Linked DNA regions of Sus scrofa. The protein of the gene in region 1 purifies or fractionates together with the protein of each later gene. This does not show direct contact. Links are inferred from orthologs where the notes say so. Each region holds a gene or a part of one and is shown in the gene's direction. Other genes may lie near its edges.

The links.
Region 2: the proteins of PPP1CC (region 1) and PDRG1 purify together in Homo sapiens (affinity purification with mass spectrometry; 6 studies listed by BioGRID and IntAct, counting the BioPlex papers as one, with this or other methods). This does not show direct contact. The link is inferred for Sus scrofa from reciprocal best matches to the Homo sapiens genes PPP1CC and PDRG1.
Region 3: the proteins of PPP1CC (region 1) and CCDC85C purify together in Homo sapiens (affinity purification with mass spectrometry; 5 studies listed by BioGRID and IntAct, counting the BioPlex papers as one, with this or other methods). This does not show direct contact. The link is inferred for Sus scrofa from reciprocal best matches to the Homo sapiens genes PPP1CC and CCDC85C.

What each region holds. Positions count from the first base shown.
Region 1 is NC_010456.5:32,077,729-32,081,374, reverse strand, and holds part of PPP1CC (serine/threonine-protein phosphatase PP1-gamma catalytic subunit), read left to right. Parts: intron 1-1,388; coding exon 1,389-1,520; intron 1,521-2,406; coding exon 2,407-2,637; intron 2,638-3,646. UniProt on the Homo sapiens protein: Protein phosphatase that associates with over 200 regulatory proteins to form highly specific holoenzymes which dephosphorylate hundreds of biological targets.
Region 2 is NC_010459.5:35,613,658-35,617,403, reverse strand, and holds the start of PDRG1 (p53 and DNA damage-regulated protein 1), read left to right. Parts: upstream 1-1,336; 5' UTR 1,337-1,427; coding exon 1,428-1,514; intron 1,515-3,072; coding exon 3,073-3,148; intron 3,149-3,746. UniProt on the Homo sapiens protein: May play a role in chaperone-mediated protein folding.
Region 3 is NC_010449.5:120,517,329-120,520,974, reverse strand, and holds part of CCDC85C (coiled-coil domain-containing protein 85C), read left to right. Parts: intron 1-1,865; coding exon 1,866-1,961; intron 1,962-2,725; coding exon 2,726-2,824; intron 2,825-3,509; coding exon 3,510-3,599; 3' UTR 3,600-3,646. UniProt on the Homo sapiens protein: May play a role in cell-cell adhesion and epithelium development through its interaction with proteins of the beta-catenin family. May play an important role in cortical development, especially in the maintenance of radial glia.

The sequences.
Region 1 (3,646 bases):
TCTGTTCTGATTACTAGGATATGTTCTTTTTTACAGCACAGGCTAACATCCTTTGCTCTATTGTATTTAAAGTATCCTTTGCATGATTGTATTCACAAGTGCAGGCCCAGAAATTGCACAGAAAAATAACGCACAAATGTACAGTGTGTGTTAATGAAATGGAAACAACACTTAAATTTTTTCGTAGATAAATCTGGGGCCCTTGAGATCCCTGTGGCCCTCTGAAAAACACTGATGGGGAGGGGAGATTCTGAGCATTTCCTATCTTAGGTGTTAAAACAAGGAATTCTTAGAACTAACCTAGTAACCTGATATCACTTAAAATCTTCTGTATGAATGCAAATTCATTTATGAGGCTGGAGAAGAGAAGACAAGATGGAAGGCAAAAAAAAAGCTGGCCTCGGAGTTCCCGGCGTGGCGCAGTGGTTAACGAATCCGACTAGGAACCATGAAGTTGTGGATTCGATCCCTGGCCTTGCTCAGTGGGTTAACTATCCGGCCTTGCCATGAGCTGCGTGTGGTGTAGGTTGCAGACGCGGCTTGGTTCCCATGTTGCTGTGGCTCTGGCGTAGGCCAGTGGCTACAGCTCCGATTCAACCCCTAGCCTGGGAACCTCCACATGCCACAGGAGCGGCCCTAGAAAAGGCAAAAAGACAAAAAAAAAAACAAACAGAGAACTTTCAAAAAACAAAACAAAAAAAAAAAGCTGGCCTGGTGGGCAGGGGCTATAGGTGAACATGGCCGATTTGTGTGGCTTAGAGACAGAACTGAGACCTCAAGCCATGCCCACAAGGAGTCCGATTTTAGTAGGCAATAAAAAGACCTTTCTAACAATTTATACACTGAGAAGATGACCCCTTGATCATGATACTGTAAAGAAATCTTGGTATAGAAAATGCAGCTAAATAATCTCTTGAAATCCGAAGATTTTAAGTTCCTATTAGACATTAAAATCATATTCTTTTTAAGTATACTGAAAATAAATAAAGCCCAGCCAGAAAGCTAGTTAAACTGTTTTTTGCCTCTTTTTGTTTGTTTGCTTGTTTTTGGTCTTTTTTAGGGCCACACCCACGGCATATGGAGGTTTCCAGGCTAGGGGTCCAATTGGAGCTGCATCTGCCAGCCTCCACCACAGCCACAGCAACACCAGATCTGAGCCAAGTCCGCAACCTACACCACAGCTCACAGCAACACTGGATCCCCAACCCACTGAGTAAGGCCAGGGATCAAACCGACAACCTCACGGTTCCTAGTCGGATTTGTTTCCGCTGTGCCATGACTGGAACTCCCGCCTCTGTCTTTAAAATGTATCTTTGCAGATATTTTTAATTTTTATGTTAAATCTTATTTTTACTTCACTTGACTAAACTGAGATTTCTCCCCTACAGTGAGAGGGTCCAAACCTGGTAAGAATGTCCAGCTACAAGAGAATGAAATCAGAGGACTGTGCTTAAAGTCCCGAGAGATCTTTCTCAGTCAGCCTATCCTACTCGAACTTGAAGCACCACTCAAAATATGTGGTAAGTTTTGGCACACTAACAGTTACCTTTGATTACGTGATTGACCGACTGAGTCAGTGATATATGTATGACCTTGTATTAGCGAACAGAATCATTTAGCATATATGAATAATCTGGAACTACCTAAAATTAAGTAATTGTAGCTTTAGAATAAATACCTCTGATCTTAGATGGGTTTCAGATTTTCTGAAAATTATTTCACTCAAGGAATGTAAACATTTCAGGAGAAAGGAAAGAAATGAAACAGAATGGAGAGTTAAGAAGAGGCCCTAACTATATGAGTGTATAGGAATTATATTTAAGCTTAAAGAAACTCTGGTTATGCCTAAAAATAGACCTTCCTTGATGCCTTTTTGTAGTTCTGTTTCTACATGAAAGATGTGGATAATCTGTATAAAAACTAAGCTCTATCTGAAAAGTGCTATAGTTATTCTTTTAGCATGTTTGACTACATTAATAAAGTTTGTATGCAGATTTTTTTAAAGTACAATGCTCTTTGCCATTATCTCCAGGGAGAAGTTGAAAGCCAAATGCATTGGTAGGTGTAGTGGGTGTGTACTTTGTTTACACAGGACCAGGGCTCTCAAGAAATGCAGCTGTGCTGCTGTTACAATGCTGGGAGACTGAACCGTTGGAGATCTGATAATGATCAGCCAACCTGAAAGGAAAACCATGTTACTTGGCAAGAAGGTCTCCCTAGGCATTAATAATTCTTTCCACAAAATAAATTCTTAATTAGTTCTGTGTGAGATTCGGTATATATACATACACTTAAAATTTTAATTAAGCTCAATTGAACTAAATAGTATAGAAGATTGGAAATTAATTAGTTTAGTGGTTTGAACTATATGTATGAAGATACTATAACAAAAATTCTTCCTTCTAGGTGATATCCATGGGCAATACTATGATTTGCTTCGACTTTTTGAATACGGTGGTTTCCCGCCAGAAAGCAATTACCTGTTTCTTGGGGACTATGTGGACAGGGGAAAACAGTCATTGGAAACTATCTGCCTTTTATTGGCTTACAAAATCAAATATCCCGAGAATTTTTTTCTTCTCAGAGGAAACCACGAATGTGCCAGCATCAATAGAATTTATGGATTTTATGATGAATGTAAGTACTTTCTGTATCTAAGAAAAAGTTACTTAAATTGAGATACTTGGGCATAAACTGAACATCCTCCTCCTCTGGTGGAGGATTTTTTGGTGCTGCTGCTGGTTAAATAACTATATAAAATGCTTAATTTTTTTTTTTTTTTTTAATCCTTACCTCTACCTTTTTGTATTCATTATTTTCGGCAGAAGAAGGTTTAGGCTGCAAAGAGAGGAGTAGTTAAGGAATTTGATTACTGGCACTTGCCAATATAATTATAACAAGACCAGTAAAGCACTGTCACTGTGGCCTCCCCTAGACTATGTGATCATAACCTATAGTCGCTCAGGGTGTGATGTTTTTCCATCTCAGTTTCACGTAGATGTATTCAGCTAGCTTGTTTGTTAGAAGTACACTGCTGGAAAGGTTACATTCATAGACTTAGCCCTCTTGCTCCCAACCATGGTTGTATATTTGTTTGATCTCTGGCCCCAAGACCCAGCTTATAAAATGAAGTGGGAGGAATTACCAAGGAGAAGAAATCTGTGGGTTCTGACAGAATTCAGCAACTAAGTTAGGAAAGAGAGATTTGATATTGACAGTGAGTCTATCAGAGAAGTATTCTTAAGGCAGTTAGTTACTACTCTTTAGGTAGTGAAATGAGAGGCAGAAAAGTTTTATAATATTGTGTTTTGGACACTTGTATAGTGCTGCTTTTCAGAACAGGTTAAGAAGTGGTTCCTTTTACACAGCTGTTAGTGAAAACTTTCATGTTTTCATCAAAGTTATTCAGACCCAGTGATCTCTTTGTTGTGACATAGATCCTAGTGTGAGGGTATTGGCTACATCATTTTTGGTTTCTGTTTAATGTAGAGGCCTTAATGATGCAGAAGGTCAGCATTGATTGGTGTCAATTTTGGCTCTTGTCCTCAAGACTGATATAATGACCTTGTACTCCAGCTTTCCCCTCTCTCATCAGGCAAGTATAATTTGCCACTCAGTCTGTTTGGGCCTAGAAGTGTCCTTGATA
Region 2 (3,746 bases), on another chromosome or scaffold:
TCGCCGCTCTCCGATCCTTGATTTTTCCAGCCATGCAGTGAGGGGTTTGGGCATGAAGATTTCTAGGGAACCCTCTGGTTCTGAAGGGTAGCCACTTTCCACCTGCCCCCCTCTTCTTGGAGGTCCTCCCAGATCCCACGGCCCACACGGGTTCACTTTCCAGCACTTACACAACTTCTTTTCTGAGCTGGCACTTAATCGCTCACGGCCCATGGTTTTCTAACCCCTTCCTTGGGTGTAGGTCAGCTATTGCAGACACTGGGCCCAATACAAGGGCTCAGTGAATGTGGGAATCAAACTCAATTTAAAAAGATTCCTGAAGTTCCCATTGTGGCTTAGCAGAAACGAATCTGACTAGTATTCATGAGGATGCAGGTTCGACCCCTGGCCTCACTCAGTGGGTTAAGGATCTGGCATTGCCATGAGGCTGTGGTATAGGTCGCAGACATCGGCTCGGATCTGGTGTTGCTGTGGCTCTGGTGTAGGCCAGCTGGTACAGCTCTGGATTTGACCCCAAGCCTGGGAACCTCTATATGCTGTGGCTGCAGCCCTAAAAAGACCCCCTCAAAAAATTTAAATTAAATTTTAAAAAGTAAAAAGATTCCTGCCTCCTTCTAGTCCTGAAGAAAGACAATAAGGGGGATTTTTATTCACTCCATTTTATAAATTGGAAAGTGAAGATGTCACACTGTCAGAGTTCCTTGATGGCACAGTGGGTTAAGGATCTGGCGTTGTCACTGCTTTGTCTTGTGTCACAGCTATGGTGTGGGTTTGAGCCCAAGCCTGGGTGACTTCTGCATGCCGTGAGTTCCGCCAAACCCCCCGCCCCAAACCACAATGTCACATGGGCCTCTTCCGTATTCCTCAAGCAGAGGAAGAATTATTTGATTTCTCTGAAGCCTTATCACTGCCTGCCATATTATATAATTATTTGTTTTGTCATTAATTGTCCATGTTTCCCACTAGGATGAAGCTTCATGAGGGCAGGGCCTTTGTTTTGCTCACAGTTGCCTCCTCAGTACCTATAACTCCTTGGCACAGAGTAGATGCTCAAGAATTATACGAAGGGAGGGAGTGGTTAGGAGGCATCATAGCGTATACAGCAGAAACTGGCACAACACTGTAAGTCAACTATAATCTAAAAAAAATTTTTTAATGAAGTAAAAAAAAAAAAAGAGCAGCAGCATAGCCGACTATGTTCCCTTGGCCTGCAGGGGGCGCTCTAACCCTGCCTCCAAAGCTAGACCCCGCCTCTCGCGTTCCGCTAACGCGCTTTCGTTGGAGCCTGCGCGCCACCGTTCTTCTTTCAATTGCGCGTGCGCGCCGGAAGCCCCGTCAGAGCTGCGCGTGCGCAGGCAAAGCAAGAAGCGAGCTGTGGCGGAGCTTGTTAGAGTCGCGGCAGAGCAGAGTCGGGGCTGGAGCGCACTATGCTGTCACCCGAAGCGGAGCGGGTGCTGCGGTACCTGGTGGAGGTGGAGGAGCTCGCCGAAGAGGTTCTGGCGGACAAACGGCAGGTAGGAGGCTGATCCGCGAGGCTGGGACCCGGGTTCGGAGGTTGGGGCCTGGTGGCGAGCGCCTAGTGAAGCGCAAGGTGCGGAATCGCTCCAGCTCAGGCTCTCCAGGAGGTGACCTAGGCTTTTAGGCCAATGGCCGTGACGACAGGCTGGGCGGCTGTGAGATTATGTGGGTTAAATGAAGCGCCGCGCTTCATTCTGCATGTATTACACGGGGGCCTCTCTGTGCCAGGCATTCCGTCTCTTCCATCCTTTCTCTGCTCCCTTGCCCTACCTTCCCGATCCCGATCTACTCACCCCTTTGGGCATTTGATTGATCTGAACCCCTCTTTCAAAATGCGGTTCCTGGGCTCCCTCCCTGAGCTGGGCTGCACCGCCCCAGTTCACACTCTGAGTGGAGAAGAGAAACAGAAAAGAGGCCTGAGTGGTCTTGGGATCACGCAGGGATGGGGATGTGGGAGGAGTGTGGGGCCCTGGCCTTGGAAGGCCATGCAAACCTGCACTGGGAGTCTGGGTTTGGTACTAATAAAGATGCAGAGGCTTTGAAAAGAGTTCATGGGGAGAAGGAGAGTGATGTAATGGATTTAGGGTTTGAAAGATCCCTTTGGCTGCTCTGTAGAGAAGAGAATATGAGGGGCCAGGCACTCTGTAGAGAAGAGAATATGAGGGGCCATTGCCATGGGTGGGGTGAGGGATGGCTTTGAGCCAAGGTGGTGGTGTTGGGTCAGAAATATATTTTGGAGATGGACTTAGGCTTCCATGATCGTTAGGTATAGGGGTGAGGGAGTGGGAGAAATCAAGAAAGATTCATGACTCTTCATCTCCAGTTAGAAAGATTGAATGGTTGCTCCCTCAGGTAGTGAGAATGGGAAGACTTGGGGAAGAGCCTGTCAAACACTGCCTCAAGGTATGCTGGATGGTAAATAGCAGTTTAAAGTTTATTGGGTCCTTACTGTGGGTCAAGTACTGTGCTGACCTACTTAGTTCCTGGATTCATAACCGATGAGGTGTGTACTGTTCCTATCTCCATTTTTCAGAGAAGTGAAATAACACAGCTTAGAGTGGGCAGCATGAATCAAACCTGAGTATTCAGCTCCTTCAGGCAGTGTACTGTACCACCTCCTCACTTCCTTGGTAGCTATTGTGCTGTTATCCCCATCTCAGTGCCCCCACTCTGCTGTTCTGGTGTAATATTGCTGGGTTTCTTGTGGTACTAGGTGAGAATCAGCTGGAGGAGCTTGTCCAGGGAGTGGTTTTCACTCCCCTGGTGATTCTGAAATGCCCTAAAGTTTAAGAACTGGTGCTCCAGTGGATAATAAAAAAACAAATTGTTTGGTCCTGAAACATTTTTCCTGGGAAGACACCTGCACAAAGCATTGTCTTGAAGGAGCTGGCAGCTAAGTGGGGGAAGGAATACCTTCACACAGCAGGGCATTGGAATTAACCTAGCAGGGATGCCCTGGTTTTGTTTCTGTTCGGTTTTAACAGCTCTGGTCTGTTGGGAGTACAGGCCCGGGTAAGAGGTGTCTGAGTTCCCTCATGCCCCTGTGCTTTTCAGATTGTGGACCTGGACACCAAAAGGAATCGGAACCGGGAGGGCCTGAGAGCCCTGCAGAAGGATCTCAGCCTCTCTGGTAAGCCAAGACTTCCTCACTGCAGCCCAGGAGGCCTGTTCACTTCTCCTTCTAAGGCCTTTGACTTACCCCTGATAGAGACCAGGCAGGAGGCCAGAGGTGTGTGCACAGCCCATGGAGATGGGGAGACAGTATCCCAGTTCAGACCTGGACTGTGGCTCAGGATTTTAGCCACTCACCTCAGAGACAGGTTGTTAGCTGCTGGCTTATGAGTGACGGCACCAGGAAAAGCGCTGGGGGCTATAAAAATAGTACAGTTTCTGCCCTTGTGCATGCACCTAAAGATGGGTTAAACAGCATAAATACAGAAATGAAAGTCGTGAGAAAGCTGAAGAAGGAATTGGACATGGGCTTGGTGTTGGAGAAGGGGATGTGGCTCCTTAGATGAGGCCAGGTGTTGTGACAGAGCGTGTGATGAGGCTGGAGAGATGGGCAGAGGCCAGGCTGTAATGAAGGGCGGTAATGAAGGGCCTTGGGGCCAAGAGTTTAAAGTGCACTTGCTTCTGGCCTCACCAGAGTAAAACCCTGTGGATGCTCCCCTGTCCTTTCCTCTCCCCTCCCCCTCACTCATAACTCCACCCTCCTGGTCTCCCCTGCT
Region 3 (3,646 bases), on another chromosome or scaffold:
ACCACAGCTCACGGCGATGCCGGATCCTTGACCCACTGAGCAAGGCCAGGGATCGAACCCATAACCTCATGGTTCCTAGTCGGATTCGTAAACCACTGTGCCACGACGGGAACTCCCAGCGCCCTTCTTTACTAGCTGGTTGGCCTTGGGCGAGTTGCGCAGTGTCCCCGTCCTCATCTGTAAAATGGGCCCATAGAGAGATGGCGTCCGCGCCTAGGGTCGTAACCTGCCCCCTTAGGCCGCTCTTCTCCTGGCGGGTGCTTTGCAGGCTGTGCTCTGCCACCCCCACCACGGGATGCCTGCAGGGCTGAGCTGGGTTTGGAAAAGGCCCTAAGGGTACAGTCTTGGCCAGTGTCCAGTGGTGGCTTCCCTTATAGGGTCCTGAGACCACGCTCATTTGCTCCGTCCACCCAGTGAGGCCGGCCAGCAAACGGTTGCACCATCTACCCCGGCCACGTGCAGTTCCTGCCTGCCTTTGCTGCAGGAATCAGCCCTCCTTACAGAGCAGGCGGTGCTGGGAGCGCCGGGTGCAGACAGGACCTGAGGCCAGAGGTGCCTGGGCCAGCCGCCTTCCTGGGCTCTGTGTGTGTGGATGTCGCCCCCTGCTGGCCTGTGCGGGGAGGGCAGCCTTCTGCCATAGGGCGCACACCTGTATGTGGCCTGACCCCCCAGAACCCAGTTTGGTTCCCCGACATGACACACCGGCCTGGGCACCAGAGATCAGGTGGCCTGGGCCAGAGTCAGGAAGACAGCAGCCCAGGTCTCTGTGCACACCCGGGACACAGGGACCTGAGGGGCGGAGTGGACCGGGCCTGCCCCCAGAGCCTTGCCCAAGCCAGCTCTCCCGGACCCCAGGGCTGCAGGCCTCTGTGTGGAGCCAGAGCAGGCTGAGCCTGCGAGGGCCCAGGAGCAGGGCCAGGGCACCCTGGCTGGTGAGAAGAGTGCAGAGGTTGGCCGCTGGCAGCAAAAGATGCCAGGCACCGAGGGTCCCTGTGCAGGGTGGCCCAGCTGGGCAGGCTCCCAGGGCAGTGGCCTCATTGGCCTGATCACTGGAGGGGCCTTCAGGGCCCACTGACTGAGAAGGAAACTGAGACTCAGGGCTGCAAAGGGGCCCAAGGATGCTCCCCCTGCTCATGTACCCCCTGGGCCGCTCCTGGTGTTTTCTCTCCGCTTCCAGCACCACCGGCTGGTTGCCCTCAGGCCACTCCTGGCATCTCGCGTCCTGCTGGCCCCGGGGCTCCATCTAGCTCCTCAGGCGTGAGCTCTTTCATGTGGCCTTGGTCCCTTCTTGACCTTGCTCAGGGGCCGGTTCCGCTGCAGCCCCAGCCGAAAGCCCTGCCTCCTGCCCTGTGGCCACCTGGGCCAGTGCCCCTTGGGGAGGAGCTGGGTGGACACTTGGCCTCTGACACAGGTGGCAGGGAGCCAGGAAGCTGGATCCCTTCCTCTCCCGGCCCCCGTCTCCTGGCCCCCAGGCTGATGTGGGAGCCGGGCACCTAGTTGCCAGTTAGACTGCAGGATGAGGCAGCAGTCCCCAGACAGGGAGGCTCAGGGCCGGAAGCCCCAGGAATGCCCGGGGTGGAGCCTAGGGGACGGGGAGGGGGCTTAGGAGTCAGGCCCAGGCCGTCTGTATCATCCTAGGTGAGCTGCAGAGGAGGTGACAGACCTTCCAAGCAGGTGAGAGACCTTCCACGTGTGCCAGGCTGTGCAGAGGAGCCTGCGGGATGGGGTGCTGCCCCTCGGCCCCCATGGTCTCTGGCCTGGGCCCCGGCCCCACGGACCCAAGGATCCCTCCCAGCTGCTGGTCGCACCTGTGGCTGCCACCTGGGAGCCAGCCAGGGTGAGCTAAGACATGGTTCTGCCCACAGGGCCCCGCCTGCCCTGTTCCCGAGCTGTCCTCGCCGCCCTCCGCCGGCTACAGCGCCGCAGGACAGAAGCCCGAGGCTGTGGTGCACGCGATGAAGGTGAGGGCCAGGCCCTGCCCGGTTCCCGCTCCCTCCGGGGCCCCCAGGTCCCTGGCACTTCAGGACCCTGTGACCTAGGACCCCGCTTGCCCTCTCTGCAGGCAGCTGGGGGACTTTGGTCCAGTGGCCGTGGCTGCCTGGAGTGTGGGGTGGGGGTTGGGAGGCGGGGTGGTGGCTGCGTCACCCCTGCAGCCAGGGAGCTGAGGCCTGGGGCAGGTGGGGAGGACAGGTGCTCCTGGAGTGGGGGTGGGGCAGGATGGCCGGGATGGAAGCTCGGGTCTCCCAGGCCCAGCTCTCCCTGCCCCCCTCCTGCTCAGGGCCTTGGGGTGCACCCTGGGGCCTGTCCACTGAGGTGCCCCCATCCCTACCCCCCTAGCAGGGACACAGGCACGTGGTTCCCCGCAGGCAGCCCGCTCGCTGTGCCTGGCAGGTGGCAACTGGACACCCCCCCCCCATGTGCATGTGCCAGCCTGTCCTGAGTCCCAAGTGGGGTCCCGGGTTTGGAGTGCAACAGCGGTCCCCACCCCGCCTGTCCACCTGCTCTGCCCCCAGTGCCAATGTGGGCCGCCGCTTCCCTTGCGTGGTGTCTACGGTGTCACTGGGCCGAGGCGACAGGACAACCGGGCCCTCAGGCCTCTCCAGCCCCCGATCCCAGGGCCCCGCGGCTAGGCGTCCACCACTGCCCCTTGTGGTGGGGGAAGCTGGGGCCTTGCCCGAGGCCTGCCTGTGACCTCTGCCCCTGACCCTGGGGCCGCCCCCTGCAGGTCCTGGAGGTACATGAGAACCTGGACCGGCAGCTCCAGGACAGCTGCGAGGAGGACCTGAGCGAGAAGGAGAAGGCCATTGTCCGCGAGATGTGCAACGTGAGGCGCCTCCTGGGGCCGGGGCCGGGGTGACCGGGCGAGTCCCAGTGTGGCCACAACCCCCCTGGGAGGTGACCCGGGGGGCTGGGAGCCCGGGCCTCGCTCCTCCCCTCCCCCACTTCCCCTCCCCCCTTTCCTCCCTGCTCCCTGGTCTTGTTTGCCCTGTGTATCCTGACCCTTGGTCCCTGTCCCCTGTGCTCTGCTGGCTCCTGGCACACAGGTGGTGCCCAGACTGCGGTGCAGGCGGAACCCTCAGCTCTGCGGGACCCTCCTGGCCGTGGCTGCCTTGGCCTTTGGCAGCTGGGCTGCCTCTGGGTCTCTGGGGAGGTGGCGCCTGGATCTGGGACCCACCTGGCCAGTGCGCCTTGCCTCGTGGGACCCTTGTGGGAGTCAGCAGGGGAGGTGGTTCACGGGGCTGCCCCCTGGGGCGGGGTATCCCCCCGCTGCTGCCTCCTGGGTCTGTAGGGCCCACTGGACAGCTTCGGGCCCAAGTCTGCACCCTCGAGGTGCCAGCTCAGTCGCCTTGGGGTGGGAGGCACGGTGCGGAGGGCGCACGTGCAAAGACCCGGTCTGAGGGTCTCCAGGTGTCATGTGGCCTCAGTGTCCCCTCCTGGCCCCTGGCTCTGGGGACACCCTGGGCGGGTGCAGGGTGGACCCTCCATTCCCAGCTTGCCCCTCCCCACAGGTGGTCTGGAGAAAACTGGGGGATGCCGCCAGCTCCAAGCCCTCCATCCGGCAGCACCTGTCCGGGAACCAGTTCAAAGGGCCTTTGTAGGGCCGTTGCTCCGTGGAGGTGGACTGGCCCTGCCTGGGGTCCCTGGG